Linked DNA regions of Neodiprion lecontei. The protein of the gene in region 1 interacts with the protein of each later gene in a pairwise test. Links are inferred from orthologs where the notes say so. Each region holds a gene or a part of one and is shown in the gene's direction. Other genes may lie near its edges.

The links.
Region 2: the proteins of septin-interacting protein 1 (region 1) and exosome complex component RRP46 interact in binary tests that used the Homo sapiens proteins (3 or more experiments, as listed by UniProt). The link is inferred for Neodiprion lecontei from reciprocal best matches to the Homo sapiens genes TFIP11 and EXOSC5.
Region 3: the proteins of septin-interacting protein 1 (region 1) and leukocyte receptor cluster member 1 homolog interact in binary tests that used the Homo sapiens proteins (3 or more experiments, as listed by UniProt). The link is inferred for Neodiprion lecontei from reciprocal best matches to the Homo sapiens genes TFIP11 and LENG1.
Region 4: the proteins of septin-interacting protein 1 (region 1) and methyltransferase-like protein 17, mitochondrial interact in binary tests that used the Homo sapiens proteins (3 or more experiments, as listed by UniProt). The link is inferred for Neodiprion lecontei from reciprocal best matches to the Homo sapiens genes TFIP11 and METTL17.

The regions. Positions count from the first base shown.
Region 1 is NC_060265.1:1,083,725-1,091,922, reverse strand, and holds septin-interacting protein 1, read left to right. Parts: upstream 1-2,758; 5' UTR 2,759-3,011; coding exon 3,012-3,120; intron 3,121-3,205; coding exon 3,206-3,437; intron 3,438-3,668; coding exon 3,669-3,849; intron 3,850-3,931; coding exon 3,932-4,887; intron 4,888-4,968; coding exon 4,969-5,165; intron 5,166-5,292; coding exon 5,293-5,721; intron 5,722-5,807; coding exon 5,808-5,965; intron 5,966-6,062; coding exon 6,063-6,311; 3' UTR 6,312-6,385; downstream 6,386-8,198. UniProt on the Homo sapiens protein: Involved in pre-mRNA splicing, specifically in spliceosome disassembly during late-stage splicing events. Intron turnover seems to proceed through reactions in two lariat-intron associated complexes termed Intron Large (IL) and Intron Small (IS).
Region 2 is NC_060261.1:41,971,093-41,977,953, forward strand, and holds exosome complex component RRP46, read left to right. Parts: upstream 1-2,187; 5' UTR 2,188-2,369; coding exon 2,370-2,478; intron 2,479-2,705; coding exon 2,706-2,819; intron 2,820-2,929; coding exon 2,930-3,051; intron 3,052-3,205; coding exon 3,206-3,349; intron 3,350-3,946; coding exon 3,947-4,129; 3' UTR 4,130-4,810; downstream 4,811-6,861. Other genes in the region: thioredoxin domain-containing protein 11, read right to left, coding at 1-59, 156-359, 512-742, 865-1,075, 1,542-1,753. UniProt on the Homo sapiens protein: Non-catalytic component of the RNA exosome complex which has 3'->5' exoribonuclease activity and participates in a multitude of cellular RNA processing and degradation events.
Region 3 is NC_060266.1:21,388,784-21,396,013, forward strand, and holds leukocyte receptor cluster member 1 homolog, read left to right. Parts: upstream 1-2,644; 5' UTR 2,645-2,829; coding exon 2,830-2,852; intron 2,853-3,081; coding exon 3,082-3,181; intron 3,182-3,351; coding exon 3,352-4,167; 3' UTR 4,168-4,605; coding exon of another isoform or gene 4,606-4,722; 3' UTR 4,723-4,889; coding exon of another isoform or gene 4,890-5,192; 3' UTR 5,193-5,221; downstream 5,222-7,230. Other genes in the region: U3 small nucleolar RNA-associated protein 4 homolog, read right to left, coding at 4,606-4,722, 4,890-5,192, 5,276-6,821.
Region 4 is NC_060261.1:626,179-633,334, reverse strand, and holds the start of methyltransferase-like protein 17, mitochondrial, read left to right. Parts: upstream 1-3,780; 5' UTR 3,781-3,860; coding exon 3,861-3,870; exon of another isoform or gene 3,871-4,423; coding exon 4,424-4,475; intron 4,476-5,282; coding exon 5,283-5,393; intron 5,394-5,412; exon of another isoform or gene 5,413-5,455; intron 5,456-5,818; exon of another isoform or gene 5,819-7,156. Other genes in the region: transcriptional protein SWT1, read right to left, coding at 1-16, 88-206, 380-572, 671-925, 991-1,221, 1,326-1,574, 1,661-1,989, 2,096-3,002 and 1 more. UniProt on the Homo sapiens protein: Mitochondrial ribosome (mitoribosome) assembly factor. Binds at the interface of the head and body domains of the mitochondrial small ribosomal subunit (mt-SSU), occluding the mRNA channel and preventing compaction of the head domain towards the body.

The DNA.
Region 1 (8,198 bases):
AATCGCGAAAATTTTCGCAAAAAATACAAAGGGGTTAACCTTCCTTTTTTTTTGACCAAAAAATTTTTCGTCTCAGAATTGATTCGTATGACTCTTTCCCGACCAATTGGACCCCAAGGAACTCAGAAAACGCAGCAAAAGGAGCGTGGGATCAACGGGAGAGAAGATACGAGGAAAAAAGCACCTGCTGAAAAATGTCGAAAATTCAGGTTTTCGTTTTTTGGCTGTAACTTTCGATGCGTTGATCGCAGCGTATTGGGACTGCGCCCAATCGATTTCTCTCGCAAAATTACGTCGGAATCGTGCCACAATTAATTTATTCCAGCACTTTTGAAAATCGCGAAAATTTTCGCAAAAAATACAAAGGGGTTAACCTTCCTTTTTTTTTGACCAAAAAATTTTTCGTCTCAGAATTGATTCGTATGACTCTTTCCCGACCAATTGGACCCCAAGGAACTCAGAAAACGCAGCAAAAGGAGCGTGGGATCAACGGGTGAGAAGATACGAGGAAAAAAGCACCTGCTGAAAAATGTCGAAAATTCGGGTTTTCGTTTTTTGGCTGTAACTTTCGATGCGTTGATCGCAGCGTATTGGGACTGCGCCCAATCGATTTCTCTCGCAAAATTACGTCGGAATCGTGCCACAATTAATTTATTCCAGCACTTTTGAAAATCGCGAAAATTTTCGCAAAAAATACAAAGGGGTTAACCTTCCTTTTTTTTTGACCAAAAAATTTTTCGTCTCAGAATTGATTCGTATGACTCTTTCCCGACCAATTGGACCCCAAGGAACTCAGAAAACGCAGCAAAAGGAGCGTGGGATCAACGGGAGAGAAGATACGAGGAAAAAAGCACCTGCTGAAAAATGTCGAAAATTCAGGTTTTCGTTTTTTGGCTGTAACTTTCGATGCGTTGATCGCAGCGTATTGGGACTGCGCCCAATCGATTTCTCTCGCAAAATTACGTCGGAATAGTGCCACAATTAATTTATTCCAGCACTTTTGAAAATCGCGAAAATTTTCGCAAAAAATACAAAGGGGTTAACCTTCCTTTTTTTTTGACCAAAAAATTTTTCGTCTCAGAATTGATTCGTATGACTCTTTCCCGACCAATTGGACCCCAGGGAACTCAGAAAACGCAGCAAAAGGAGCGTGGGATCAACGGGAGAGAAGATACGAGGAAAAAAGCACCTGCTGAAAAATGTCGAAAATTCAGGTTTTCGTTTTTTGGCTGTAACTTTCGATGCGTTGATCGCAGCGTATTGGGACTGCGCCCAATCGATTTCTCTCGCAAAATTACGTCGGAATAGTGCCACAATTAATTCATTCCAGCACTTTTGAAAATCGCGAAAATTTTCGCCAAAAATACAAAGGGGTTAACCTTCCTTTTTTTTTGACCAAAAAATTTTTCGTCTCAGAATTGATTCGTATGACTCTTTCCCGACCAATTGGACCCCAAGGAACTCAGAAAACGCAGCAAAAGGAGCGTGGGATCAACGGGAGAGAAGATACGAGGAAAAAAGCACCTGCTGAAAAATGTCGAAAATTCAGGTTTTCGTTTTTTGGCTGTATCTTTCGATGCGTTGATCGCAGCGTATTGGGACTGCGCCCAATCGATTTCTCTCGCAAAATTACGTCGGAATCGTGCCACAATTAATTTATTCCAGCACTTTTGAAAATCGCGAAAATTTTCGCAAAAAATACAAAGGGGTTAACCTTCCTTTTTTTTTGACCAAAAAATTTTTCGTCTCAGAATTGATTCGTATGACTCTTTCCCGACCAATTGGACCCCAAGGAACTCAGAAAACGCAGCAAAAGGAGCGTGGGATCAACGGGAGAGAAGATACGAGGAAAAAAGCACCAACTGAAAAATGTCGAAAATTCAGGTTCTGGTTTTTCGGCTCTCACTTTTGATGCGTTGATCGCAGCGTATCGGGACTGCGCCCAATCGATTTCTCTCGCAAAATTACGTCGGAATAGTGCTACAATTAAACCATTCTAGCACTTTTCAAAATCGCGAAAATTTTCGCCAAAAATACAAAGGGGTTAACCTTCTTTTTTTTTTGACCGAAAAATTTTTCGTCTCAGAATTGATTCGTATGACTCTTTCCCGACCAATTGGACCCCAAGGAACCTAGAAAACGCAGCGAAAAGAGCGTGGGATCAACAGGAGAGAAATTGAGTAGAAAAATACACCTGCTGAAAAATGTCGAAAATTCGGGTTCTGGTTTTTCGGCTCTAACTTTTGATGCGTTGATCGCAGCGTATTGGGACTGCGCCCAATCGATTTTTCTCGCAAAATTACGTCGGAATAGTGCCAGAAAGAATTTATTCCAGCACTTCTCAAAATCGCGAAAATTTCCGACAAAAATGCAAATGGGTTAGCCTTACTTTTTCTTCATTTTTTGGCTGAAAATCTTTTGAACTCAGATTTGACTTGTATGACCCCGTCCCGTCAAATTATTCCCCGAATAGTTTAAAAACGTGCAAATAGATCGCCACAGCTCCGTCCGATGAGGAAATACGTCAAAAACACGTAGTAATTCCTCTTAGCTGCTAGTCCGTTTATCTCTCATCACCTGTAGTTTTAGACTGTGTACATCCGATTTGTTCTTTAAAGTTTTGTCGATATTTCAGATAGCTACGTCGTTCATAACTTATCTGGCCTTATCGGCATTACAGAATCCTTTATTAGTCGCAGTACCTACGTTACCTACTACGAAATCGCTGGAGTACATCGAGTTTACGAAACCGACCAACGTGAGTCCGCTAGAGAATAACGTAGTTTGAGCATGGTTGTTCACGATTTGGTGTTTTCGACACTGGGATGTTTTTAACATGAAATCACCTGATATTCAATATCTACACAGCACAAGGGTACTTTAAAGTCTTCTGTCATATAGAATAAGTTCGCATCGACTCCAGTTACGTGGTCTCACTCAGAAACGTTCGAGGCATTGGGTTAACCTCAAATTTTTAGATTTTTGATCCGAGATATTCTATCGATCTTATAATGTCTGAGGACGAAGTCGAAAGTTTTGAAATAACAGACTACGATCTGGACAATGAATTCAACATTAATCGTCCTCGGCGAAAACTGTCCAAAAAACAACAGATGCTTGGTAAGCAAAAATCTATTATCTTACTTTGAATTCTCCTAACTCTGTTACATTCACATATTTCTCCATCACTAAATGTAATCGTCAGGAATATGGGCTGATGACAGTGATGAAGAAGAAGTGCCAGCACGACCTTCCTTCAAATCATCAAATCGTGGCCCCAAGAATTACACCGCACCAGTTAGTTTTGTTGCCGGTGGTATTCAGCAAGCTGGACAGCCCAAGGATGACAAGAAAGAATCTGATGGAGACAAAGATGATGACGACGAAGGTGGTCGGCCAAAACGAGGAGATGCTGATTACGTTCCCAACAGTTCTAGGTATAGCTTTTAATATATTTTTTCTACCATAGTTTATGAATTATCAATCATTGTAGTGGTATTAAATATCAGTTTATTGTACAATTTTCTATTCTCAGCACAATCAAACTCATTGTGTCATCAACATAAATTAGTGTCATGAAATTCTAAGCTCTACAATCACTCTTCCACAGCTATCGCTCCCATTCTTACGCCTTTGTACAATCCATATCCTGTTCTTTTACATTCCAGTGACTCAGATGACCAAGGACCGAGCTTCGCTAGAGCAAAGCCATCATTTTCCTTGAATCTAGAAGGTGACATAGCTGGTCTGCGAAAAAAAAGAACATCAGTTAACCCAGTACTTATGAAATCAGGAGTCGGAAGTTGGGAAATGCACACAAAAGGAATTGGAGCGAAACTCTTGCTTCAGGTTAGTACACGGTTCGTTTGTTACCTATTAATGAAAGAATATTCACCTGCGATGACCAGTGTGTCGGATTTTCCTGTTATAGATGGGTTTTGAACCCGGTAAAGGTCTCGGTAAGAAGTTGCAAGGTATAATGGCTCCGGTAGAGGCTCATCTCCGTAAAGGCAGGGGAGCGATAGGTGCTTATGGTCCAGAAAAATTGGCCAAGGTGCCTGAAAAGAAAAAAGACGAGGATGTAGAGGAGGAGAAGGAGTTCAAAGCAAAATTATCGCAATGGCGAAAGGGGGAGACGGTCAGCAAGAAGAAAGTGAGATATTGCTACAGGAGCGTTGACCAAGTACTGGAGGATGGCAAGTTAAGACCGAACCGAAAAGTTCAGTTGAACAGTGAAATGAGCAAAGTCAAAGTCATCGACATGACAGGACCTGAACAACGAGTGTTAAGCGGCTATCATGCAATCGGTGGTGGACAACAGCGACCCGATGAGACTGTTACACCGGTCGATGTAAAGAAAACAGGCGTGAATTTCGCCCTCCCTGAACTCCGCCATAATCTCAATTTGCTAGTCGATTTGTGCGAGCAAGACATTATACAGAACGATCGCCGAACTCGTCATATGTCCGACAGGGTGGTAGCTCTTGAGGCGGAAAGGTCAAACTTATCTAAGATAGTAGACCAGCACGAACAGCTAATGGACACTCTGGAAAACGTTCTATCTATCGTCGATCAGCTCATGGACCAATCCAATGATCTGTCCCTAGAGGAAACTGCAGCAGCCTTCAAAGATCTTCAGGAGAAATATTACGAAGAGTATAAAATGTACGAATTAGGTGAACTTGCCACAGGCCTGGTTGGTCCCAAAGTTAAGGAATTCTTATCTACTTGGAATCCATTGACGAACCCTACGCACCCCATTCCACTATTCAAGCAGTGGAAAAATATTCTTGAAAGTGGCAGAAGCACCTTGCAAAGCGGAGCTCTGCAACCCTACGATCAACTAGTATGGAACTCTTGGATGCCGTCAATAAGAGGCGCTGTACAGTGAGTATTTTTGTCTTCAGAAAATTACATTGTCAGATATCAGCTGATTAGTGGAACTTACGTAGGTGTTGACTCTTTCAGACAGTGGGCTTGCCGGCAACCTGATCCTCTAGTCGAGCTTCTAGAGCAATGGATTCCTCTTCTGCCAGGATGGATACTGGAAAACATACTCGACTTGTTGGTTCTACCCAAATTGACGCTGGAAGTTGAGGAATGGAATCCTCTCACCGACACAGTACCAATTCATACCTGGATTCATCCCTGGTTACCATTGATAGGTAAGAGTAGTTGCTGAAATTTGTGATAAAAGAATGGTAACGGATTCGGAGTACAAGGGATGAATTATTTAAGTTCGATTTAATACATTCTCTTACTTTCCCCATCTCCGTTCATGATTTTCCGTAGGTAATCGCTTAGACACTGCAGTGTATCCGATCATTCGTCGTAAGTTGGGCTCAGCGCTAGGAGGGTGGCATCCTTCGGACAGATCAGCAAGACTGATGCTGCAGCCGTGGTCCCTGGTGTTCAAGAAGGGAGACATGGAAGCTTTCCTGGTGAAGAACATCATTCCAAAACTTCAAGTAGTTTTAGCCGAATTTGTGATCAACCCGCACCAGCAGCATCTGGACCAATGGAATTGGGTATTTGAATGGAACGAAATGCTGCCGATTCACACCATGGCAGGTCTACTGGATAAATTCTTTTTCCCCAAATGGCTTCAAGTCCTGGCTCTCTGGTTAAATCATTCTCCCAATTACGATCAAGTCACCAACTGGTATATGGGATGGAAGGGAATGCTGAGTGACAAACTGCTGGCAGAGCCGCAAATAAAGGGCGAGTATCTGTCAAGTTTTTTCTCACGTAAAGGACGTGTCGCAATAAAACCTAAACGTGCTCATGAAAATATTTCGAATTTTCAGACTACTTCAAGAAGGCGTTGGACATGATGAACAGAGCGGTAGCGGCACCTCAGGGACACCAACCCGGAGCAATGGAACAAGTGTCCTACCTCACAAATCTCGAAAGAACTCAAACCGCTCTACCTCCGTCTGCGCCAGCCGCTCAGCCCAGGATGGAGGTGAGAACAAGAGAAGAAAGATTTTATTTTATCTTTGTATCGCCGTGTAGTTAACGCAGATATCTATAATGACGAGTTTCTATGATTTCCACTTCAGAGAATTGCCGAGGCCGTGCGTACCGCGTCGCAAATTCCACAAGGCTTCAAGGATCTCATACAAAAGCGGTGCGAGGAAAGAGGCATCCTCTTTATGCCCGTGCCAAACAGATACAGGGAAGGGAAACAAGTTTATAAAGTCGGCAACGTTCAGGCTTACATCGATAGAAACGTCGTCTTTGTTTGCCACAACGGATCCACATGGGCTCCGACCCATTTGAACGCGTTACTGGACATGGCTGAGATATAGGATTGTAAATACCATTGTACATACTTGCAGTGAAGTCTTAGAATTTAGATAAATTAAATATGTTCACGATGAAACGATTGTGACGAATTTTAATTATGCGGTTCGCTATGACCCTTGCCATCCATCCATCCTGTTTAAAATATTATATCGGAGATCCGTCATATCGATATAGCTAGCCCATCAACATGTAATTTCAGGCGAATTACACATACGTTTGTCGTGCGGCATTGAGAATATGCGCAGAGAGAAATATTTGGGACTTTTATAATTAAATCTGACTCGAAGTGTTAAATTTTACAATATCAGATGACGTCTCATGAGAATGCTATTGGTAATCAGACGCAAACATCAGACGATGTTGGATTCATTACAAAATAAGGCGGGCCTGAATAATTAATACTGTAAATATACCGCAGTGTATATCTATTTTAACGGTAACCACAAAGCACAAGCAGCTCAATACGTCAGTGTACTTGGGCGGTTTGTTTATTTAATTCCGTATGCCTCATTCGATTCCAGGCGTATCACGCGATTCAACGGGTTAAAATCCGGAAAGATGACCTAGCGCATAAACGAGGGAAGCATAGGCGAATAAGGCATAAATCGGCGGAGCAGCAATAACGATAATTAATGCCTTAGAGAGGTAGGCAGGCAGGCAGGCAGCAGCAGGCAGCAGCTGTGGAGGCAGGGAAGGTTCTCCACCTCTATTTAGCTGTCTCGCGTCGAAGGCGTGTAGGCGCCCCTGGTTATCCCACCACTAAGGTGCAGCTTAAAAACTTCTCGATATGGAAAGTTGTATAGTTGATTCCCGCGGAGACGAGGTCTGGCTACGGGCAGCCAACACCGACGCGACTTCGGTCGCGTTGAATGGGCATCCTTCGCCCACGCGTCATGATCCGCGACATCCGCGACGTCCTTCCCCCCCACCTCACTACTTCGAAGCCAGCGACGAAGGGCAACGCAGTGACTTCAAGACTCCTCGGCATTTCCTCCTGCAGCAGTCACGAACGCGTCTCGCGGTGTTGGGAAATTTGCATCCCGGCAAGATGCGAGAGTGCCTGGTAACTGTCCGTCTCCGCGAGGCTTCTTCCCTCTCTCCGGCACCTATCCAGGACCTGTAAACTCCAACGGTGCAGCCTCTGAGACTCCGGGGCACATTGTCTGATGCCGATCCTTATTCTCTATGCGCAACAAGGAACTCGCGTCACCCGCTATGCGAAGTACTTATTGTATCACGTGTACCTACTCTTGTACACCCGTATATACGTGTATACCCAAGCTATCCTACAACCTTATACACGCAACGTAATTTATGTCGGCGTAAATTGCGGAACGCCGATAAACGCGTATGGCCGCAGCTATCGCTGGGACTCTCGCTATACCAACGTCCGTTTGTGCACGAATTGACGTGCAGTATAGGATCGAGATACCACCTCGCCGTGCGGATACACCTATCTTCTGATTGAAGATCATTCGCTGTTCCAAAATATCGTATTACATCACTATTGTCATTCCTCGTTGTACTTACTCCTGTAATAGGACCATATATTGTACACTGTTATAACGTCGAAGGTTTGTTCCAGTAAACGATCGGACACAAAATCTGATAATCTGAAAATCTTGAATTCTTCGTCAATTATTTATTATTACCAGTTGACCGTGATTCATATGAAGCGTTCTTAAACAAATGGTGGATATCTTTAAATGGGATGGTAAACACGAGTGTGCATCGCGGTTACTCATCATTCATCGAGTGGATCCTCCAAGGAAGTGGAGTTTTTCCACAGCTGCTGAATAATCTCGATATAATATGCCGTGTTCGACGAAGTCTGGTATTTAATTCAGAGAACAAGTGGCCATAAAACCTGGGTAATTCCTCACGTGAAG
Region 2 (6,861 bases), on another chromosome or scaffold:
GCTCCGCCAATCCACTTCAGTAAACTATCAGATTTCCATTCATTTTCCACAGGATAACTCTGTACAATGAATATTTTATCGTAGCACAATGTTCAACAGATGAATCAAAGGCAAAATCTTATATTTATATATTTTCAAGCTAAACTTGCTCGTACCAATGACTCGTTCCAAAGTAGCAACCTAGCAGAAGGAAACTCCGTAACTCCGTAATTAGATTCTGCAGAAGTGTCAGTAACCACTGCGAATGCTAACTCTTTGTTAGGATCTCTTTCTAGTGATTTAATTGCCGTTTTGTAAAAGACATTGTATCCCGGTGAGTTTTTCAGTCCGATAAAATTAAAGTAACCTATCACCACGGCCTAGAACATAAGGTTTTGTGATAATTTCACATATATGTGGAGATAACTTAAGTGATAATAACAATAAACATGTAGAGGTCGCAACCCAGATTGAACAGAAAGAGAGAGAGAGAGAGAGAGAGGGACAGAGGGAGAAACGTAATCAAACCTACGTCATAGTCTACAATCAGGTTCAGGAGCTGATTTCTGTCTGTTATTCTGAATATTGGGTTCATAAATGCGTGGAGGAAGCGTATCATGTACGGTGCAGTACGAATACCTCTGTACTGAACACCAGGTCCTCGCCTAGGATAGAGCATAAAAACTGGGTAGCTCTGAATCTTGCTGTATTCAGCCCGGCATTCTGAACCCGGGTGCCAGCAATTAATGGCTGCAAAAAATATCTGAAAATTAACAAATTAAAGTTAGTGTGGTTTCCACAAGTTTTTGTAGTAATGTCAAAGGCAAGAAGCAATAATTGAATAACGATTTATGTATAGAACTTAGTAAATGAATTAATGAGAACCTGTTTGTGGTAAAAACGTGCCACAGTTTCAAACTCTTGTCTAACGGCTTGACTCTCGGCATCCCATGGTGCGTAGTACATAACAAAACTGAGATCTGCATCTGTGACTCTTTCAATAGCGGCGCCTAAATGACCTTTGTAAAAATCCAAAACAAGCGAGCTTTGGTTAAAGAATGGCCGAGCTGAAGGAGGTTGTGACACTTTTGGTGGCCTGTAAATACATTCAAAGTTGAGAATTCGCTATTAAACTAGTTGTTTATCAGATACGTTATACATGTATTTAATCAACTAAAAAAATCTATGAGAGATCATGTTTTACAATTAAATGCAGTCAAGGTTTCATTTGATGTTTTTGAAAGTAATATTTGAGAATTTTACCGGTTTTTATTGAACATTGATTTCTATAGTTTGACTCCGCTTGCAAGTAACGATATTTGACACTTCCTAAATTTGATTCGGATCATACATATTCAAAAATATCAGTAATAGAACGCCGTTGTAAAATAGTGTTGTTAAAGAATATCCAAAGGTAAAATGAATGTTGAAAAATAATTTCTTCTACAATGTAATTCATGATATTGGCATTTGATTTTTTTTACAATATGCTAGATGATTAAAAAACGTAGAATTATTGAGGTGAGTTGGCGGATAACCTTAACTATTTTTAAAAAACTTACGAAGTGTGAAGAGCAGCTAAGGTGGTGAATAATATTGCAGCAAAGAAACATAATTCTTTGCCATAGTGTAACATTTTCGAGGCTAATCGTTCTTCTAGTGCGGAGCTCGTTGCGAGTGATGTTTGGACCACGTTATCACTTCCTGAATCATTGGTCGGCCGCAAATTATCACCATTTCTTTGCGGACTTGTGTCGCGTTCTCCACTGGTCATTATCCTCGAAATTAAGGAAATAACGAAGGTCCGACGGGGGGATGATTGCCGTCAAATTTTCGTCACGTATCGCGTCATCACTCGGGCCTACTTATCTTTTCATGGGGATTATATTAACTGAATTACAAACGATTAATAAACTCGCGCCCCAAGGTCCACACATATGTCACCTGTGCTCCATCTTTTTCTCCCCGGTGAACAGCTGACCGCTTAAATCCACTCGTCTTAAACGACATTAGTGTACAAGTATCGAAATTTCATCTCCAATTAAATTGAACTTATAGAATGTCCTTATACATTTTCAGGGTTATTACAATACGTCTGCTTCCGAATCGCACGTGGCTTATTTTTTATAAATAACGTTTTGACTTGAATCGGCTGCTAAACTGTCATGGAATTTTTTGATACTCTGCAGTTGGCACCCTGCACATCTTTCCGCTATATCTAGGGATATCCTGACGTGGACCAATGAAAAGCCGCGACGCCGAGTTTCTGGATATCCCCATGTCGTACATCTCATGAGCTTTAACTCTGGCGTCGATGCAACGCGTGTCTTCCATTTGTCTGCTCCTAACCTAGTTCAAATTGGAGCGGCGAAGATAGAAAACGAATTGAAATGCAAAACCAATTGGAAACTACGGAGGAAGAGGAGTGCGTTTTGAGACCGATGAACTGTGAATTAAATCAGCTGAGCAGACCGGATGGTTCGGCAATGTTTATGCAAGGTAACTAATTCGTGTGAACGGTCGTTTGTTTTCATAGCGTGAGTTCCCATTTATTTTGTTTATTTTTTATGTTAGCTATCATCACATAAACATCCAGATTTTACATACCTAGTTTCCTAGATTCACATATTCCAATTTTTCAAATTTATTGCACGGCTCTTTTGTGGTATCTAATATGTACATACCATAATTCTGAACTGATGGTGTTTTCAAATGATCGATTCCAGGTGACACCGTCGTTGTTGCCGGAGTTTATGGACCAATTGAAGCGAAGCTACAAAAGATGATGCACGACAGAGCGACCGTTGAAACAATGTTTAGTCCTGCAAAAGGACCACCGTGTAAGTATTTCTTGACTGCCGACAATCCTGATATTTTGATTATAGCTCTTTAACAGATTATTTCGCTTGTTACGTGATTTAACATTTTGATAATTATTCTGTATTTTAAGGTGTCGACGACAGAGCGAAGGAAACTGTCATCAGGGAAACGTGCGAGGCTGTACTGCTGACTGCGTTGCACCCTGGCATGGCAATAAGCATAAATGTACAAGAACTGCAGGATTCTGGAGGAGTTGGTATTTTTATTGATTAAGTGTTGTACAATACAATTCTATCACTTCACTTTATCGGTTCATTACAAAACAATCGATTCCACTTTACTTCCACTTTTCGTTGTGTCTTTTATTAAAAGAGATAATACTCACGTGTTACGTACAATTTTGCAGTTACTCGCCTGTGCCATTAATGCTGCTTGCCTGGCGCTCATAATCTCCAGTATTTCTATGAAATTCACTGTCGCTGCTGTATCCTGCATGATTGACCGCGAGTCCGGCAAACTGATTGTAGATCCTGATAGCACGCAAATACAGGTTTCTAAAACTTATATTTATATATTTGAAATATTTCAAGTAAAATTCATATTCTTTCACACATTTATAAGTATTAAATGCTATTGGTATTTTCTTTTTTTGCCCAGTTTGAACTATTTGGAAATAATCTAACTTTCTACAACTAGAACCTTAGGTTGAATTTTCAAGTAAAGCCTTAATCGCTAATTTTGATCAAATTGTTTTTGTGCTCTGTCAACAAATTTTAAGGAGAGACGAGAAAGATCACAACTTTCTTCATGTATTGTCCTTTATATGTTTCTAAATGTTAATCAGAGCAGAAATGACAAACCAGCGAATTTTGTCTAATTTTACTTTCTGAGTCTCAGAACACCTAGTTGAGTCAATTTCGTAATTCAAAAGTGTGGTATTTGTTTTAAATATTACCTTCATGTATAAATATTTCCTTTAATCCGAACTTTATGGAGTTATAATTTTGAAGTATGAGCATTAGTTTTGAAGGACGCTGGGCCTAAAACAACAAAAAATGACGTATTATTATTGTTACTTTGTTTCAATTCCTTTCAATTACTTATCATACGTAATTCTAATATATTTGATAATAATTGAAAATTGCAGCAGGCACGGGTCACGTTCACGTATGTTTTCGAGGGTATAAAAAAGGACTTGGTGTCTTGCCACACAACTGGTCGATTCTCGGAGAACGAGCTGATGGAATCTCTAGAAAAGTGTCGAGCAGCAAGCCAGAACATCTTCGATTTTTATAGAAACATAGTTGAACAATACGCGATTAAATTATGAGCATATTTGCATGCGATAAATTTATCGACGTCGAATTCGCACCCGTAAATTGCTGAAAAATCCAATGATTCAATTCTATAACTAGCACTTTACGTATATTTCCGAGCAGTGGGAGATCGATTGTATGTATATAAAAATAATTAGGCGGTGGTATACTCGATCCGTTTCGAGCTGAGGAATTTAATAACACCGGTTAAAACGGCCTCCGCGGTGCAGGTGATTCGGTACAGCGAAATAGCGATCGTAACTTTGATTCCATTAAATACAATAAGGCTACCAGGAATACTGACTGAACTACGTTTAGCCGCGAGGTTTCCCCCCGGGGGCCCGAAGCTGCGGCGCAGTCTTGCTGACCATTAACAAGAAGCGAAGCAATTTATGGTACGGTTCGCTCATTCCCACTTTATTATTTCTCGTCGTAGCTGAGTAGATGTTTCTCTGCTGCAGTCGCCGGTTTCGTTTTGCTTACCGAACAGCCAGATACAGCGTCAGCTTACAGACATCCTGGCGAGATGCTTCGCATCGAAATTCTGCAAACCTTTCTCATCTTGAGGCTTCCTCATTAACGTGATTTGAATGTGTGTATATATATATATACATTTATTTTAAGCCTGAAGATAATTGATGACGTTCATGTGCGTCGATGTCATATATTTCATAATAAACTGTTTTTCACTTTAACAATGAGATTCCCTTTGTTCCACTACGTTAAATGGCATTTTGAATTTCAGGGTTTCGTAAAATATTTTAACGCAAAATTGCATCTTGGACTGACAAGACTCTGACTTGATATAGTTAAGAAATGAGCTTTCATCGGTTTTTTTTTTATCTTCCGCGAGAAATAATTATCATTATTCTTTTAACGTCTTCAAGATTCCAAGCATCTTCTTACCATTTTCTAAAAGCGCATTTTTAATAATTCTCTTCATGACGTTCTCCATGACGTCAGGCGGTCTCTGACAAATGGGAGACAAGGGATAGTTGCGAGCACTTTGAAGAAGCAGCGAAGCTTTTCTCGTCTCCCGGAAGGTTGCACTGGCACGACATATGTCGTCAGAAATGCTGTATCCAATTGTATGACAGTTTGTTTAGAAAATCCACAGTAATTATCAATAACGGTATCTTCCGAAAAAAATGAAAAGGCTTTCCTCGGAATAATTATTTTTATTTCTTTTCTGAATCGATACTATTGGAAAATAAAATAAAAAAATACTAATTTGCATACGTATTTCGCTGTCGCATGGAAAGACACAATTACGTGTAATTTTCCACCTAATTAAAAATACCATTTTCGGCTGTTAACGACAAAAGTGAGTGGGGGGGGGGGTAAATGACGAGTTCGTATGTAAATGTTGAAGGGTTAAATGCTGAGTTGCGGCGAAGGAAGGAAGGAAGGAAGAGAAAGAGAGGAGGAGTCTTCGACGCGCATCAGGTACTGAGTTGGGGCTACCTTATACTACACCATATCTCGGCACAGCTCAGCTCCGAACTCACCATTTTACGAGGTATAAAAAATAGACAGACTACAAGTTCCCGAGAACCCTATTGGCGCGAAGACTGTTATTATGAAATTAGCATTTAGCGAGGGCCATCCGGTCGAGGTTGTTAGGTATACATATGCATATATATATACATTATATACATATACATATATATATACACACACGTAGGCATGCGGTGTACAAGCTGTAATAGGAGGGCAAGAGGTAGGAAGCCGAGAGGTAATAAGGAGGTAATCGCTCCGAGAGAACCCTCATTGGACCGGATCGGACCAGGTCTTTCGAACTCGGAACCAGGTGCCACCAATCGCATACTTCAACGTGCTCCGCGTTTCATTGGACGAATTATTTACGAGCCCTGCACGCGAACGGCCGAATGAGCCTGGAAAACTGCCGGTTTGCATGTTGACGTTAGACCGCTTCATTCCAGGGTGATCCTCGAAGTTCCCGTATAACCACCGAGTCGTACAACGCGCATTACGAGCGGGCACCTGTAATCTTATAATTATAATCCCGATTCTCGTCTTCCCCAAGCCGCGATTTGTCTTTGTCCCGATTCGACCCGGCTTCCCGATCCGATTCCGGACTGCTGTAATCCCACACGGAAGAATTCGAATCACTCCGCGACGAATCGTCTCTCGAAACTTTCTCGCACTGCAGCTGAAACATACAGAGATGGTGTATAAGGAAAAACTCGCAGTTCCAAAAAGAAGAAAGATGCTGTCCCTCCATCATCAAATTCCTCACATCCGGTCATGCTTCGCAATGCTGAACGCGTCTTTCGCTTCTAAACCGGTCCCAAAGCTTCTCTTTTCGTAAGGGTTTACACCTTTTCGAAAAACGATGGACCAGTATACTTATATAATCAATAACTTAACGTGTTCAAAATTACTTTCAGTGTTTGTTTGTTTTTTACCTCTCCAACAAAGGTTAATTAGAGAACAGTTGTAGCGTAACAAACGTAAATACTATGTGCTTCTTCACCAATTCGAGTTGAAGACATCTACCCGAGAGTAAGCTGTCTCTTAAGATAATTCGATGATTCGCAAATCTGATTAAAACGATCGGAAGAACAAGGGTCCTAATTCAGGGTCGAAGGAGGGGATCCTGAGACCGGCACACGCCGTAGTGATCCCCGTTTGCGGTCTCTTGTCACATTCTTGTCAACTGGGACAACGCGTCACGTCAATCTCTTCCGCGCGCGCCGGTCGTCTCTGTCGATCCTTTCCTCTC
Region 3 (7,230 bases), on another chromosome or scaffold:
TTTCAGCTTATCTAACCTTTTGTCTGTTTCAGCTAATCAAATATTCTGCCTCTTTCAGCTAATCAATCTTTTTGTCTGTTTCAGCTTATCTAACCTTTTGTCTGTTTCAGCTAATCAAATATTCTGCCTCTTTCAGCTAATCAATCTTTTTGTCTGTTTCAGCTTATCTAACCTTTTGTCTGTTTCAGCTAATCAAATATACTGCCTCTTTCAGCTAATCAATCTTTTTGTCTATTTCAGCTTATCTAACCTTTTGTATGTTTCAGCTAATCAAATATTCTGCCTCTTTTAGCTAATCAAACCTTTTATCTGTTTCAGCTAATCGAATCTTCTGTCTGTTTCAGCCCGTCAATCTTTTTGTCTGTTTCAGCTAATTAATTTGTCTTTATATTTTTTACTTATCTAAGTTAATTATATTTTTGTCTATATCTACATATGTCACTAATTATATTTTCATCTGTTCCAGCTAACTGAGTTTTATTGACTATACTAAAAAATTAACTTTTCATTTTTTAGGCTTAGATCTGGTTTAGTGGTTAATTGTTTTGCGAATTGACCTCGTTCTCCATTTTAGTGATTATCTCATACCTCATAAGAAACAAAAACCTGCGCACGAATATCCATAGTCAATCATCCTTCATCCATAACTAAAACAATCATCTTTCATCCATAATTAAAACAGTCATCTTTCATCAATAATCAATACTCATCGGGTTATATGGATTGAAAAATTTCGAATAAAGTGTGAATATATGCGAGTACATTCAACTAAAAAAGTTGGATGCGAGTACAAAGTAATTGGGAAAAATAATTTACTATAATTAACATGTGAAAAAAAGTCATTCGCAATTTTTCAAAGAACATAAAATCGATCTTGCAAGTATTCTCCGTGGAATAGGCCTACTGGGGATACCACGTAAAAAAAAAACGCGCCGAGTACCCTACTGCTTGCGGTGGTGTGGAAACGAGCATAAGTGAACTTATTTTAACTGGTCAGATACTAACATATTGTAGTTTTTCAAATGACAATTTTAATCTTGCGTGAATTTAACTCATTGCCAATAAAACTCATGCTCCGATAATGTCTTAACGCATGTGGAGTCGTAATATCTTCGGATTGCTGTAGTTTAGTCAGAGTGAATACACGCGTAAATACATTCTGTTTGTTAAATTTCGTTTTTTAATGAAAGTCAACAAGGTGCACATACCTTTGGCAATTGATTGGCAATTCAAACATCTTTCTCCCTCGCTTGACCTTTCGCAGTTGACACAGTAAAATCGCTAAATTGTAAAATTTAAAAGTTTTACTCCTTACTCATTGAACAACTCGACTTTTCGAAAAAGTTGGTTCAATTTCAATTGTCTATCCGGCATAGCATTCCCAGTATTTCTTTCTTGAATTTTTTGTATTACTAACTTTTGTATTAATAACTAACCGTTTTACGCGTCAGTTGTCCGCCTCGCCACCAATTCCAAAAACAAACATTGTTAGATAGCGATCTTCACAGAAAGAGTATCACTTGGAATTTAACGGGCCTATGTATATTTCTCCAAAACGGACAATCAGCCCACCACCAGAACCCGATGCAGTTCGAACAACTCATCAACGATGTATATTTCTTGGATGATTACCAAGAAATTACATGAATTACTGACAAGTTCTTTGTAATTTTAACATATATAATGTAACTCATTGTCGTATTACCAACGACTCCTCTTCACTCCGTAAAATTCTTCTTCTATCTAAGTCTGCAAAGTTTGTAAATTCTGTTTGCGGAAATCTATAGAAATACTGCGATAGATCAGAATCTTTGGATTGTTGGAAGCAAAACACTCTTGAAGCTACCAAAAGGTCTTACAACCTTTCATCTGTGTTTTTTTGACACATATCGTAGATAATTGATAATAATTTGGTTATACGGAATCAGGAAAATCCATTTTTGGACTAAACATTAGTAACAATCGAATCTTACCTAATTTCCAAAAAATATTTACAAGTAGTACTTTTGTGTAGAAAGGTCTGGGTTTTCTGCTGCAAATAAACTGTATTTTAAAAAACCACGGCAATTTAACGTGAGTCGAGAAATTATTTTTATATGTCAGCTGCATCTTCGTTCGGAACGAAGATATGAGCGTTGACTGAAAATATATATTATTACCTTCAGTTAACAGTACGAGTTAAGTATTAAACATGTGTAAAAATTACATAACATATGTACATATAGGAACAACTATATATCTCCATTCTTTGAGTAACTTCTTTAACTATGTATATCATCCTTTGCATCAAGAAAAGGTTTCTAACTGTTAACAATAAACCAGGTGTATGGTTATTGTGCATCTATTTAGGTAACATTATTTTTGTCGCTCCGATAGAGTTAGATTGAGATTGCTGAATTTAGTTCAAATGAATTTGCGTAGTTGAACAGTACACGGCGTCCATACGGATTTATATGAAAAGTTCAGTCTGTTCTCGTTCGTCATTCCAAAGGCATAGTAATATTCGACTCTGCATTATCAGGGTACATGCGGTGAGCGATGAAAACATCAGTTCGTGTCGCCATTATTTACAGATCGCATGCCGGACTGAGTTGCGCGTGTACGGGACAACGCAGAGAGCGCTGCTTAACAATGAATTCATGTCGGCCATTTTCGATCACGAAAAGCCCCATAAGGCTAGCCGTCTTTATGTATTTTCAGTCAACGTTGATATTGTGAAGTGTTATATTACAATTTTCGGAACTGTTCAAAAAAGACTAACAATACAAGCGTTACCGTTTTAGCTGCTGGCAGATATATAATTGTTAGGTTTTTGAAAATCTAATCAACATGAATATTTTACCCAAAAAACGGTGAGTGACAAAATTGATTCAAAAAAATTTGTTACTTTTAGGTTATACGTATGATTGGCTACTCCACAGAATAGCTTTCATGTCACACAATTATTTGTTTTTATTGTTAGCTGTGTTTACAGATGAAATCATAGTAGTACGATTAAAAGTCTTCGATCCATCTAAATTAAGTACTTGTTTATAATGTTGGTATTTCCTTTTTTTTTTTTTTTGTTATTTCGTTCTGCAGATGGCACGTTCGCACCAAAGAGAACATTGCTAGGGTACGTCGAGATGAAGCTAAAGCTGCCGAGGAAGAAAAGGCTATAAAAGCCCGGGTCCAAAAAGCCGTAAGAACTCGTTTTGTACCAATATAATTAATGTTTACGATAAAACGATTACCCAAATATATAACAGAATCATTGACTTGCGTCTCTTGCATTTCTAAAAACCTAAGAACATGATTTATTTTTAAATGAACAATAAATTATCGGCAATTGTTTATTTATCATTTTTTCAGGAAACTGAAGCTAGGACGAATTTTCTCAGAGACCAAGCAAGGCAGAGGTACGACGGTCGTCAAGTTGCAGATGGAAAGGATGAGGGTGCTAAGGAAGCAACAACATCAGAAGCCCCCTTAGAGCACGTAAATTTTTTTGCTGACATCGAAGATGGAAAAACTGATTATAGTAAACCAAATGCTGATCATGAAATTGAGAAAAAGCAGGAACAGGAGAAGTATGAAAAGCAAATTGGATATTTGACTTATTTGGGACAAGATACAAATGAAGCTACTGGAAACAAGAGCTGGTACAATGAACTTCCAAAAAGGCTTTCTGAGACTGAAAAATATGAGGAGGCTGGGATTAAAACAAAACTTCTAAATGACCCGATAAACGATATCAGGAAATACATGAAGATAATGGGCTCAACTTTGCCGTCAACATCGTCACCAAATTTTAAGAGAGAAAAATTAAAAACTACAGATTCTGTGAAAAGAAAACGCGATTCCAGTGACTTAGAATCGTGTACTAGAGACGGTGATCGCAAGAGATACAAAAAACACAAGAGTAAGAAATCAAAAAAACATAAAAGGTCGAAAACTGAGGAGCCTACCCCTAAGCCTAGTGTAGATTTAGAAAAATTAAGAGCAGAGAGATTAAGACGGGAAAATGCTGAAAAATTAAAGACCAAGATGCTGTTAGCTAAATTGAACGGAGACCCAATCGAACCCGCAGTGAAGGAAGTTCCAAAACCTATTATACAACAGAAATATAATTCGCAATTTAATCCTGAAATAGCTAGGCAAAATGCTGACAGACTATATAGGCGGTGAAACTATAGCTAATAATTTGCTGTAACATGTGACAGAACTAGCCTGAATTATATGTATAATTTTTAAATATTCTACTGTCTCAAGTCGAATAACAATGCAATAAAAATTTATTTGTTATAAACAATTGATATTCTTTCTCTATTTTTGGATCACATCTAAGATCATTTAATTTCCCAATACGAAATTGAAGACCTTCAAATTGATTAACATCGGACAACATAATAAATTTTTGAGTTTAGTTTTTTACTTGTCATTCGTGTGTTCGTACTTACTAGGAGGTCACGTTCAAATTATACTTTATATTTATATCGTGTGAAATAGATGACTAGGAATGATCAGGATTGTATGAAGAATGACGGTAAAGTCAAAGTTGAAAATTACATTTTACTTGGTTCAGTGTATCGTCGCACATGTGATATCAGTGTGTTTAGGAATGCTCTACATGCCAAATCGCTTCTGTTTAAGAGATGGTGGTAAATTTTCCGTCAATTTGACCGGATTTAATTCAACAGCTACCATTTCATCATTGACCAACCAACCTAGGTGTACTAAATTCTGAAACAAAGATATTCAAATCAATACACGATATAAATGATTCTTTATTGTAATAATGGATCAGAAAGGAAGTCGAATAAACATGATAGTTAAAATAAGAGGGAAACATGCAATGATGCATCCACTAGGTTTGTCTCTAGTTTAATTACCTATGAGCCTTAACTTACCTTATATTTTTTGACAATTCGAAAAGCTCCTTGAGAATGTGAATTCGTTTCATGATTACTGTTATCCATAGAGTCGCCGTTATCCAATCTGAAAATTTTTGCTCCTGAATTGGGCAAATTTTTCGCCTTATCAACAACGCAGATCATCGTGTTGTCGTGCATTATTATTAAATTTTCATTCCTAGGATCAAATGTTATATGACTGATAGGTATAGCCCGAGAAAGCCATTGTTTTGGCAGTTTTTCCTCTAAGTTTGTAGAAAACTGTGTATAGCGTTTTTCTGTAATACTGTATTCGACGATCTGAAAAATAAAATAGCGTGAATTGACGACTTATTTGCGTAATCCAGCCATTATTCTCACACCCAGACATTTGTTTTACATACCTTGTGATCAGAATACACAATAACTAGATTCAACGTGTTTTCTTGTACAGCCATCGCGGTCGGTGGGCATTTGTACCTAGGCAGTAACCATAGCTTAGGCGCACGAATGTTGAGATCTTTTCCGACGTGATAGATGGCAATGTTATTTTGATAATCAGCACAGATTAAGTATACGCCATCCGGCGAGAAACAGATCAGATTAATATTATCGACTAGTTCTTTTCCAACAGGTATCGTTCCTTCGTAATTTAACGAGCCTGCCTGATTCTTCATAAATATTATCTTTATCTCGTCGTTATCTGTCTTACTACCATCGACCAATACGATCCTAGAATTATCAGGGCTGAATAACATTTTGTGCGCTTTGTGCACAGGCAAATTTGAGGTCTCGTATCGTGAGAGAACAGGGTCGTTATTTACTACATCAAAGTTGAAAATCCTGATGTAAGAGTTCGTTGAGTAAGCTATCATTTTTGAGTCTTTAGTTATGGCGTACGATATTATGCTTTCACTAGCCTTTGTTCTTAGCTGTAGTAAATTGATCGGCTCTTCTTCGAGCTGATGTATTGTGCCAGGTTGAAAATTCTGCTGCGACTTTCTACTAATCGATCCAAGTTTCCATAGTTCAAGGTAGTTGCTGTACCTCAATAGTATGCACCTTGACATTTCACTTAACAGGACACAGGGGGACTGTAAAATGGGTGGATACTTTATCATGGTTTTTGGTGGGTATGTAGACTGTACCAAGTGCCCGTCGACGCCGGCTGAATAGAGTTTCCCGTTTGATTCTACCAACGCTCTGACGTCGTGTTCATGTAGCCGCCTTTCGATACCTTTCACCCATCTGCCGCTAGACTTGATAGTGATTTTTGAGTAGCTGCAAACGGTGGGATCTACACCTGCACAGTAAACAGTGTTCATGTCACTGCTCATAGCGACCGCGAGAATGTCGGCAGTGTGACTTTGGTGAGACTCTATCAACGTTCCCATGTTTGGATCCCAGAATGAAAGAATCCCCCTGGAATCTCCGGACACAACAACATTGTCATTGGTCACAGCCAGGCACCAGACGATTGTTTCCTTGTTCGCCTCTTTCCTAGATGTCGTCATTCTGTGAACAGCGTGACCTGAAACTGCATTCCATATTCTAACTGTATCGATGGACCCAGTGAATATCATTTGCTCCGTAATATCCCACTTTATGCATAATATTCGACCCTCTTGTTTGTCGAATATTTTATCGTATATCAGGTAGTCATCTGTCACATTGAATGTGTTTATATAACCATCCTCTGTCCCAACTGCTATCTGTGTTTTCGATTTATTCACGTCCATGCACCATGCTGCTCCGCCGGTCACTGCTACCTCGTATTTTGGCGCCAAACTTCCCAGGTCGTATTCTATTACCATTCCTACTAGGCCCGTTGAAAACAGCCTGTTGCTCACCCATAATACAGTCTCTACCGAACTTTCCGGGTGACCAAATATCGTCCTTTCTAAGAATGGCGCCTCTTTTACATTCCATATTTCAATCGAGTTGTCGCTTCTGAAAATATGATTTTATGTGTTTAAAGTTAGCAAGATACATTTATCAATTGAGCCTGATTCGCCAGCTTTCTTATCTCTAAACAGCCTTCTCTAAAATATACATATCAGTTTTTAACGCAATTCCTATTGATTGCCTTTCAATTTTCTTTCAGATATCAAATATTCAATAGATGGACTGGTACGTTAATATTAAATATGTTGAACATATTTTATATCCCATAGGTGGAAATGAAATGTATTAAAGCTGGTAATAATAAACAGTAAATAAATAATAATGATATTACTTAACGATATTATCATTCGAATAATTTAGTAGATTTTAAAACCGGCGGTTCGAAATAGAGTTGGGAATGTCTAAGAAAAATTGAACCCGTGATTTGTTATTCGACGTTTTGTTCAACAAATAA
Region 4 (7,156 bases), on another chromosome or scaffold:
ATCTATCAATCAGCTTCTAAAATATAGTCCACGAATTAAACGTTAGTGAGCTTATAGACAAATAAACGTAAGTCATTCGCTATTTACCTTGATGTTAGAACATGATTGATAAGATAGTTCCTGATATTTGTCCGATTTCACCATCTGTACAAGATCATAGCACACTTCTAACATGGTTCTGATGGATTTTAAACTCTGACCATATTCTGAAATCCAAAATCAATGTCGTGTGGAAAATCGAATGCAACAAGAAATTAATTCGCGTATATTTCTATAAAAGAGGAAAAAAAATAGCACCTTTTCTAAGAATTTTTCCAACTTCGGATACTTTTTATATTCGGTTCTGTCTTATTTTCATATAAATACGGAATTGACATACTTGGAGAGTTGAGAAATATCTCTGTCAGTTTCGTAACCATGAATTCAGCCCGTCTTACAAAGACATCACTAATTGCGGCGATCCAGTGTTTCGAGGTACACTTGAGAACGTCCATCACTGACCAAGGAGGTTGAATTATCACGTGCCTTGCCCATTTTTCCCCAAATAATTTTTCCATTTCTTTTGAAACGATCTGGAAGACAATTGTTTGGAGTTAAGTTTACATACTTATGACTAGAAAGTTTGATGAAGATAAAAAAAAAAGTTGCATCAAACTTCTAAAATACCTACAACAGATAGAAAGTTCTTCATTATAGCTTTTGCCTCGCAAAAAATTTCATCCGATGTATCAGCCTCTTTTGAATTAACCGTTTCTGTATGGTTTTCAACACCTTTCACTTGTTTCAGTTGTGTCATAGGGGATTTAGCTTCAATTTCGTTCGCATTCAGCAAAAGCATTGCCTGAATAGATTTATGCCGCCCATAAGTAGGGATATGGTGTATCATTGCCTTGTTGCAGAGATTTTTGTCATTGGATAGCAAAACCTAAGAAAAATAATTCAGTGAATCGGTAAACGCTTAAATTTCTATCAACTCTGAGAGTAACTCACAACTGTACATCCAAATTCTCGAATTTTCAAACAAGTTTGCAATATTTCGTCATCTGGCGAGTCAGTATGATATTTTGTTCTGTTCGAAGCAGCATCTGCAGCTGTTTGACCTTGCAGTCGAGGGTGGTTACTTGAGAAATATTGAAACAACAAGTCAACTGCGATTTTGGCACTTCTTTGTAAGTGTGTTGATTTCCTCTGCAATTTGTTATCCTTTATATAGTCTAATTCCTGTGGCAGAAGAATATCAAATACATGTAAAAAATAATTAAATCTCAAGAAAATTGATTTATTCTTAGAAAATAAATTGTACCAAGTTTTCCAAAAGTACTAACCTGTAATACCATCCAAGGCACTACAACCACAGGTTTATATTGAAATTTCGTTTGATGACAACCCTCCAAAATTTCTGTAACTGTCTTCAAATTTGACAAAAAGACATTGGTGTCGACAACAATATACACAACCGTTTGGTTCCTGTTCTCAGAAACATGGGAAAACTCTAGGCCATTTACAGTACAATTAGGGGGTTTCTGCTCCGTCGCACCTACATCGGTAGAGAGATGCATCCTAACTTCTTGGACCTAAAAATAATGATTTTATCATTAGATTTTCTACTACATGATGATGATTTTCGTAAACTGGGAAAATGCTTTCATATGTATCTCACTTCGACGATGAGTTTTTCCTGTTCAATGGGTTCCCATTCCATTTCTTCAAAAAATGCGGCCTCATCTGCATGTTGTGCCACAGCGTGGTTCAAAAACACATCAGCCCTTTCGTCAACACTACTATCTATGCCTGTTTTTTCCAAATGACTAGTTTTCTTCTTTTTTCTGCCAACTTTTGGAATGTTTGGAAGATTAGACAGGGCAGCTTTATCTGACTGATCATTCTCTTGCTGAGTTTTAATATCTGATGAAGATGACCTGCTTGCGAGCCTTGCTCTGAGCGATCTGAATCGTGATTCAGTATTTTGATAAATGCTCGGCAATGGGTCTGAAATGTAGCAAAAATTCGTCAGAGAAGACAGCATGATAAATTTAGGTGAAAACTTATGTCATCTTAAAACACAATTGTTAGGATCAATTCATTATAGAAATACCTGTCGGGCTAATAGAGCGCATTTCATATACGGTATTGTTCTCAACACTCTTATCGAATATTGTATCGAGTTTACTAGACGTAGCATCTTGTGTTGCCAATCGCCGTGCCACCTTGGCAGATATAGCAGGTTCTATTCTCTTACGGATGGTACTAAGTTTATTCTTTAAACTGTCCAATCTTTTATTGGCCAGATTCTTTTTTTTGTCGACTTTAAGACCTCGTCGGTGTCCTTCTACTTTCAGCTTCTCTGTACGCCTTGACGTAACTGAAGTAGTCGATTTGCTCACAAATGACTCTGCAGCATTCAAGGTACTCCTAACATTGGAAACATTGTCGTCTGGTTTCCTGGTATCAGTATTAGACAATTTAGTGCAACATCTTTGAGTCTTTAATTTGATACTGCTGTTTCGTTTATCCACAAACAGAGGTAAATCCTCATTATTATTCTCGAGCCCCGAGACGTTTGATTTTGCCTTTCGGGTCTGCACAGACTTCGATGTTTTCTCTAAAATTTTTTGCCTCAATGCTTTCATTTGGGGCGTTTCTACTACTCTCGATTCAGAATATTGCTTAGCCCGCTGTGAGCAGAGGGGCAATTCCTCACTACCAAGACGATTGAGCAGTGGCACATCTTGGGTACTATTTTCAGGTACAGAGAGACCTTGCTTTGGCTTCTTCTTCTGGTTAGATTTAGACTTCTGCTTGGTCATTTTCTCTCTCAATGCCTTCATCTGTGGTGTTTCGGATATTTGAGACGTTTCCGAACATCGCTTGGCTCGCAGTAATCGCCGGGGCTTATCATTGTCACTGGAGTTCTGTAACTTATCCAAGGAAGTTGAATCAGGGGAGGTCACGTCGGTGTCTGTTGATAGTTTACGCTTTTGTCCAGCTTTTTCGGGCTGAAACTGTGCAATAAAAAAGAACTGCTGTAATTCAACGTAAATTGACATAAGCATTGGCAGGAAAACACTAAACTTTTGCTGAGCTCGATTTTGGATGAGATAATTAGCGAATTTTCAAGGTTATGAAACATGCGATTGAACACGTAACAAAACTACGTGGTAAGATGAATGTAGTCGAACAACAGGGTGACCCACGTACCTTGTTCGTCTCGTGCGACGGTTCTGTCCAAGACGATTTTCCAGTACGAACATTGAAGTAATAAACCCTGTCGGGAAAGCTTGTTGAATTGACGACGATCCAGCCACTCGGGAGGTTAACTTTACTTTTTTTCGTCGAACTCATTGTCGCATACTCTTCTTCAGCGAAATAATGGGATGATTGATGTAGAGTAATTCAGTCATATTACACTTCAAATTGTGCAAAAGGTTTGGTAACAGATTAACACAACGCACAAAATAATTTATTCAGTTACTAATATATCGTACAAAAATAAACTCTCGTATTTGGCCATTGACTAAGTAACAACTGTGTAAATCGTAAACAGAGATGTAAATATAGCGCGGACTTCTGGGCTCGTTTACACGGCAGCGGGTTTCACTCGTGAGAAGATTTTCCGTTTCAAACTGCCTTCTGATTGGTCTACATGGCGACAGTTGCGGAATCGCCGTTTGATCGACCTTATCAAAAAATCATGCCATAATCACATTTTCACGCAGAGATGTTTAGTAAATATTGTTCTAAGTCAAGGTAAATACTTGTGAGCATAAATATCCATTACTTCAATTAGCAAGCCAGTTGACCAAAACAAGGTTACGATATCTGTTGCAGCTGTAAAAATTTGAAAGAAATCTTACTCGACAATGAATTTCGGTGGGTTCTGTGCTTAAAGCATGTACCTTATATGCTCTCAGGTTCTGTGCACTGAACTATAATACAGTTCGGTTCAGATGACGTTCCTGTAGTATAAACAATAGACAAACGACCGAAGCGCCGCCATATTGACAATTTGCCGCCAATTTAACGGCTGAATGTTGACGTTTTTGGTATTAGTTGTGTTCAAAGTGAGAGAAATGTTACAAAATATCCTGGATATTCGGGTTTAAATTATTAATTCGTTGCTTATAATGGGATTCACGTCGTGTATAATCGATCAACTGCCACTGCGAGAGCATTTGAACAGCAAATTCCATCGGTTCAATTTTCATTCGCGTTGACTTGAACTCGGGTAAAATTCTGGATCATGTTAATCCAATTCTCTGTAAACTCACTTCATTCGGTTCAAATGCAATCTTATTTGATATACTTATACTAACAAGTGCATCGTATTTCAAAGTAGATTTTCGTTTAATTTTCGAAGTGTACAATTAGCGTGCCAATTTGTGTAAGTGATCGTCCATATCGGTGATCCATGGTGTCGTTTCAGAACACAGCAAGCAGATCCACAAGGATATCGTTATTCATCAATGCGAATCACCGTGAGTAATTCCGAATAGAATATAATTTTAAGTTATTTCTTCATACACCCTGAAAAATTAGCTGTCATTTATTTTGTAATGTTTGTACTTATTCAGGGTGGTCACTGGTCAGAGAATTCTGGAAAACCTCGGAAACGTCATGAAATTCTGCAATTCTGGAATAGTCGGGGAAATGTCAGAGGTTTTTGCGTAAAGTCAGGGAATCGTTTACTATATTTTTTTATCATACACATACGTCCCACAATTTTTTTAAGCTTTGGATAAATTAAATCGCATACAAATTTTTTTACCACCGCCGGAAGGTTCTCTTCAAACTTTGAATATTCCTAAATATTACCTTACAACCGATTGTGCGCATCGGCTGGATGGGACAGTGTGACCCGAGTGACGGTTCGTACTTTTATAAAAAAATAAACAATGATGTGGAAAATACGTATATTTTTATCAATTCGCTATAACCAATTTATACGAGTGGTCAGGGATATTTGTTTTAAAAATTTTGGCTGGAAAACCTGAAAAATTCAGGGAATTTCGTATCGGAGATTTAGTAACCACCCTGTTATTTACTGTTAGATTCCAACAATAACAAGAAAAAATTGAACTCGTCGCACCGTTAGAAATTCTGTGTTAAATGTAACACCGAAAATATTCCATAGAGTCCACACTATTGTAGTGTTGATTTTAAGACCACTTGGTGTCAAGAATCGAACGGTTTAGTCCTCCACTGTACATATACAAAACACATTACAGTACAAAAATTCAGCAATTTTGAATTGCCAGTAATGAGTTTTTCCATTAAACTTACAGTCTCCACGGTTGGCTAATTACTACGCGAAACAAGCCGGAATGCATACGGAGGCTATCAGGCCAAGAGGATGCAGCCTTATTGTTGGCAGATATCGTTGCTGTGGCGCACGAGTGAGTAGCGTGATTTTGAAATTGCTGTCCATCATCATCTCCGTCTATCGCGTGGCGGAGAGGTAAAATAGTTAAACTTATGGCTCTCATAAATTTGTTGCGGCCATTTACTATACCCGCGTAGTATTCTATCGTTAGGGGCTAGATTGACTGTAATTATTATTTATCTAAGAAAGAATCAACTCGCCACAATAATTTGACGCTCGTTTTAAGACAAAGTTCTTGAACACGGTTTACCTGAGATGAACGAGGAGTTATCATATTTTGGTTGATCTCGTATTAAGAGATGAGCTTTTAAAATAAAAGTTATCACTTACCTTCAGTCGATTTTGATGGTTCGGGCTGTGGGCGGCTCTGCGTGCTCGACGATGACTATTTATGATATGAATTATCATTAGTTATTAATTAGGTTTTAACTCACAATATAAATTGAACACAATGATTAAGTTTATTCAAATTCAAACTAAGTTGAGATTATAATGTTTGGTTAATGTTATGAAAAATAATATTATTTGATATAGTATTAGAAGCACGGAATTTCTTTAGAGTCATTCAATTCGTTAAGATCTAAAAAAATGTTGTGAATTACCCTGATCGAAGGTGGACGAAGAATTGCTCTGTTTGAGGGATGATTTTCAACTGTCCATGTATCGTTAAAAGATTGTTTGATGGTCGACCCTAGTTAGAAGACGTATCTGGACTGCTCTGTTCAAAGATTTTTGTTGAACTGCTTAGCTTCTACTTAGTGCAACACTTTTTAACGATTTGTACTTTAGTGTGCAGATTTCTAACGCGCTTCCTGATTGGTTCGTTACATTTTCACGGTAGTTATGCCAATGAGGAAGTTCAAGTATGTATAGATGATATTTTGGGTCCAGCGTAGTGGGTTAGTTACGTAATCCCACTCCAGCCTTTCCACGGGTGCGGGTAAGAATTTCCGTACTTGCATCATATATGCAAAGATAACGTATTCTATTATTGCGCCATCCTACCCGAAACAGGTAATATTTGATGGATGGTTTTATTACACTGCGTGTGTACGCCAGATGTCTTGTCCTCGAAAATACCTTTCGGTATTTTCGGGCATCAATTTAGTCCTCAGCAAATGTTAAAAGAATCCCTCCGACGCACGCATGCGGGTGGCTTACCTAAATAGTTATTAAGATTATTTTGTTTCACAAGAAAGAACGGAAAAAAAGAAACAATCGTGCAAGCGGTTGAAGAAAACGGTACAAAATTGCATGATATCAAGAAAACGTATGAAACAATTTAGAATGTACCTAATATCTAAGGGCAGAGGGCATCGAGGATGTGACACTCTCATTATTTCTTTTGAAGCGTATTCAACTAATAACTCACAATCAGAGTGATTGATGCAGTACACAAAATCACCTTTACTGGCTCAAGCAAATCGCTTCGAGAGACATTCACCCTCTATTTTGTGTAGGCAACAATATTTAGTACAAAAACTTAAAACTGATAAAATTGAACGATCAAAAATATTCGTATTAAATTCTCATAAAATAAAAGCTTTTGTTATTTATTTATTTTACAAAATATTGTTGCCTACAAAAAAGGTCTCTTGACATTTTTCATTTACTTCTATAATTTCATGCGAAATTGCCAGTGAGTTAAGGTTAGCATTTTTTACGTGTTATTTCTATGTGTAAAGGAAAACTTGAAAACGGGACCTCCAGATCTCTTCCGATCGAGCTCAAATGTGCAGCAGATTTTTTTTCATAATATACAACAGTTTTATCAGG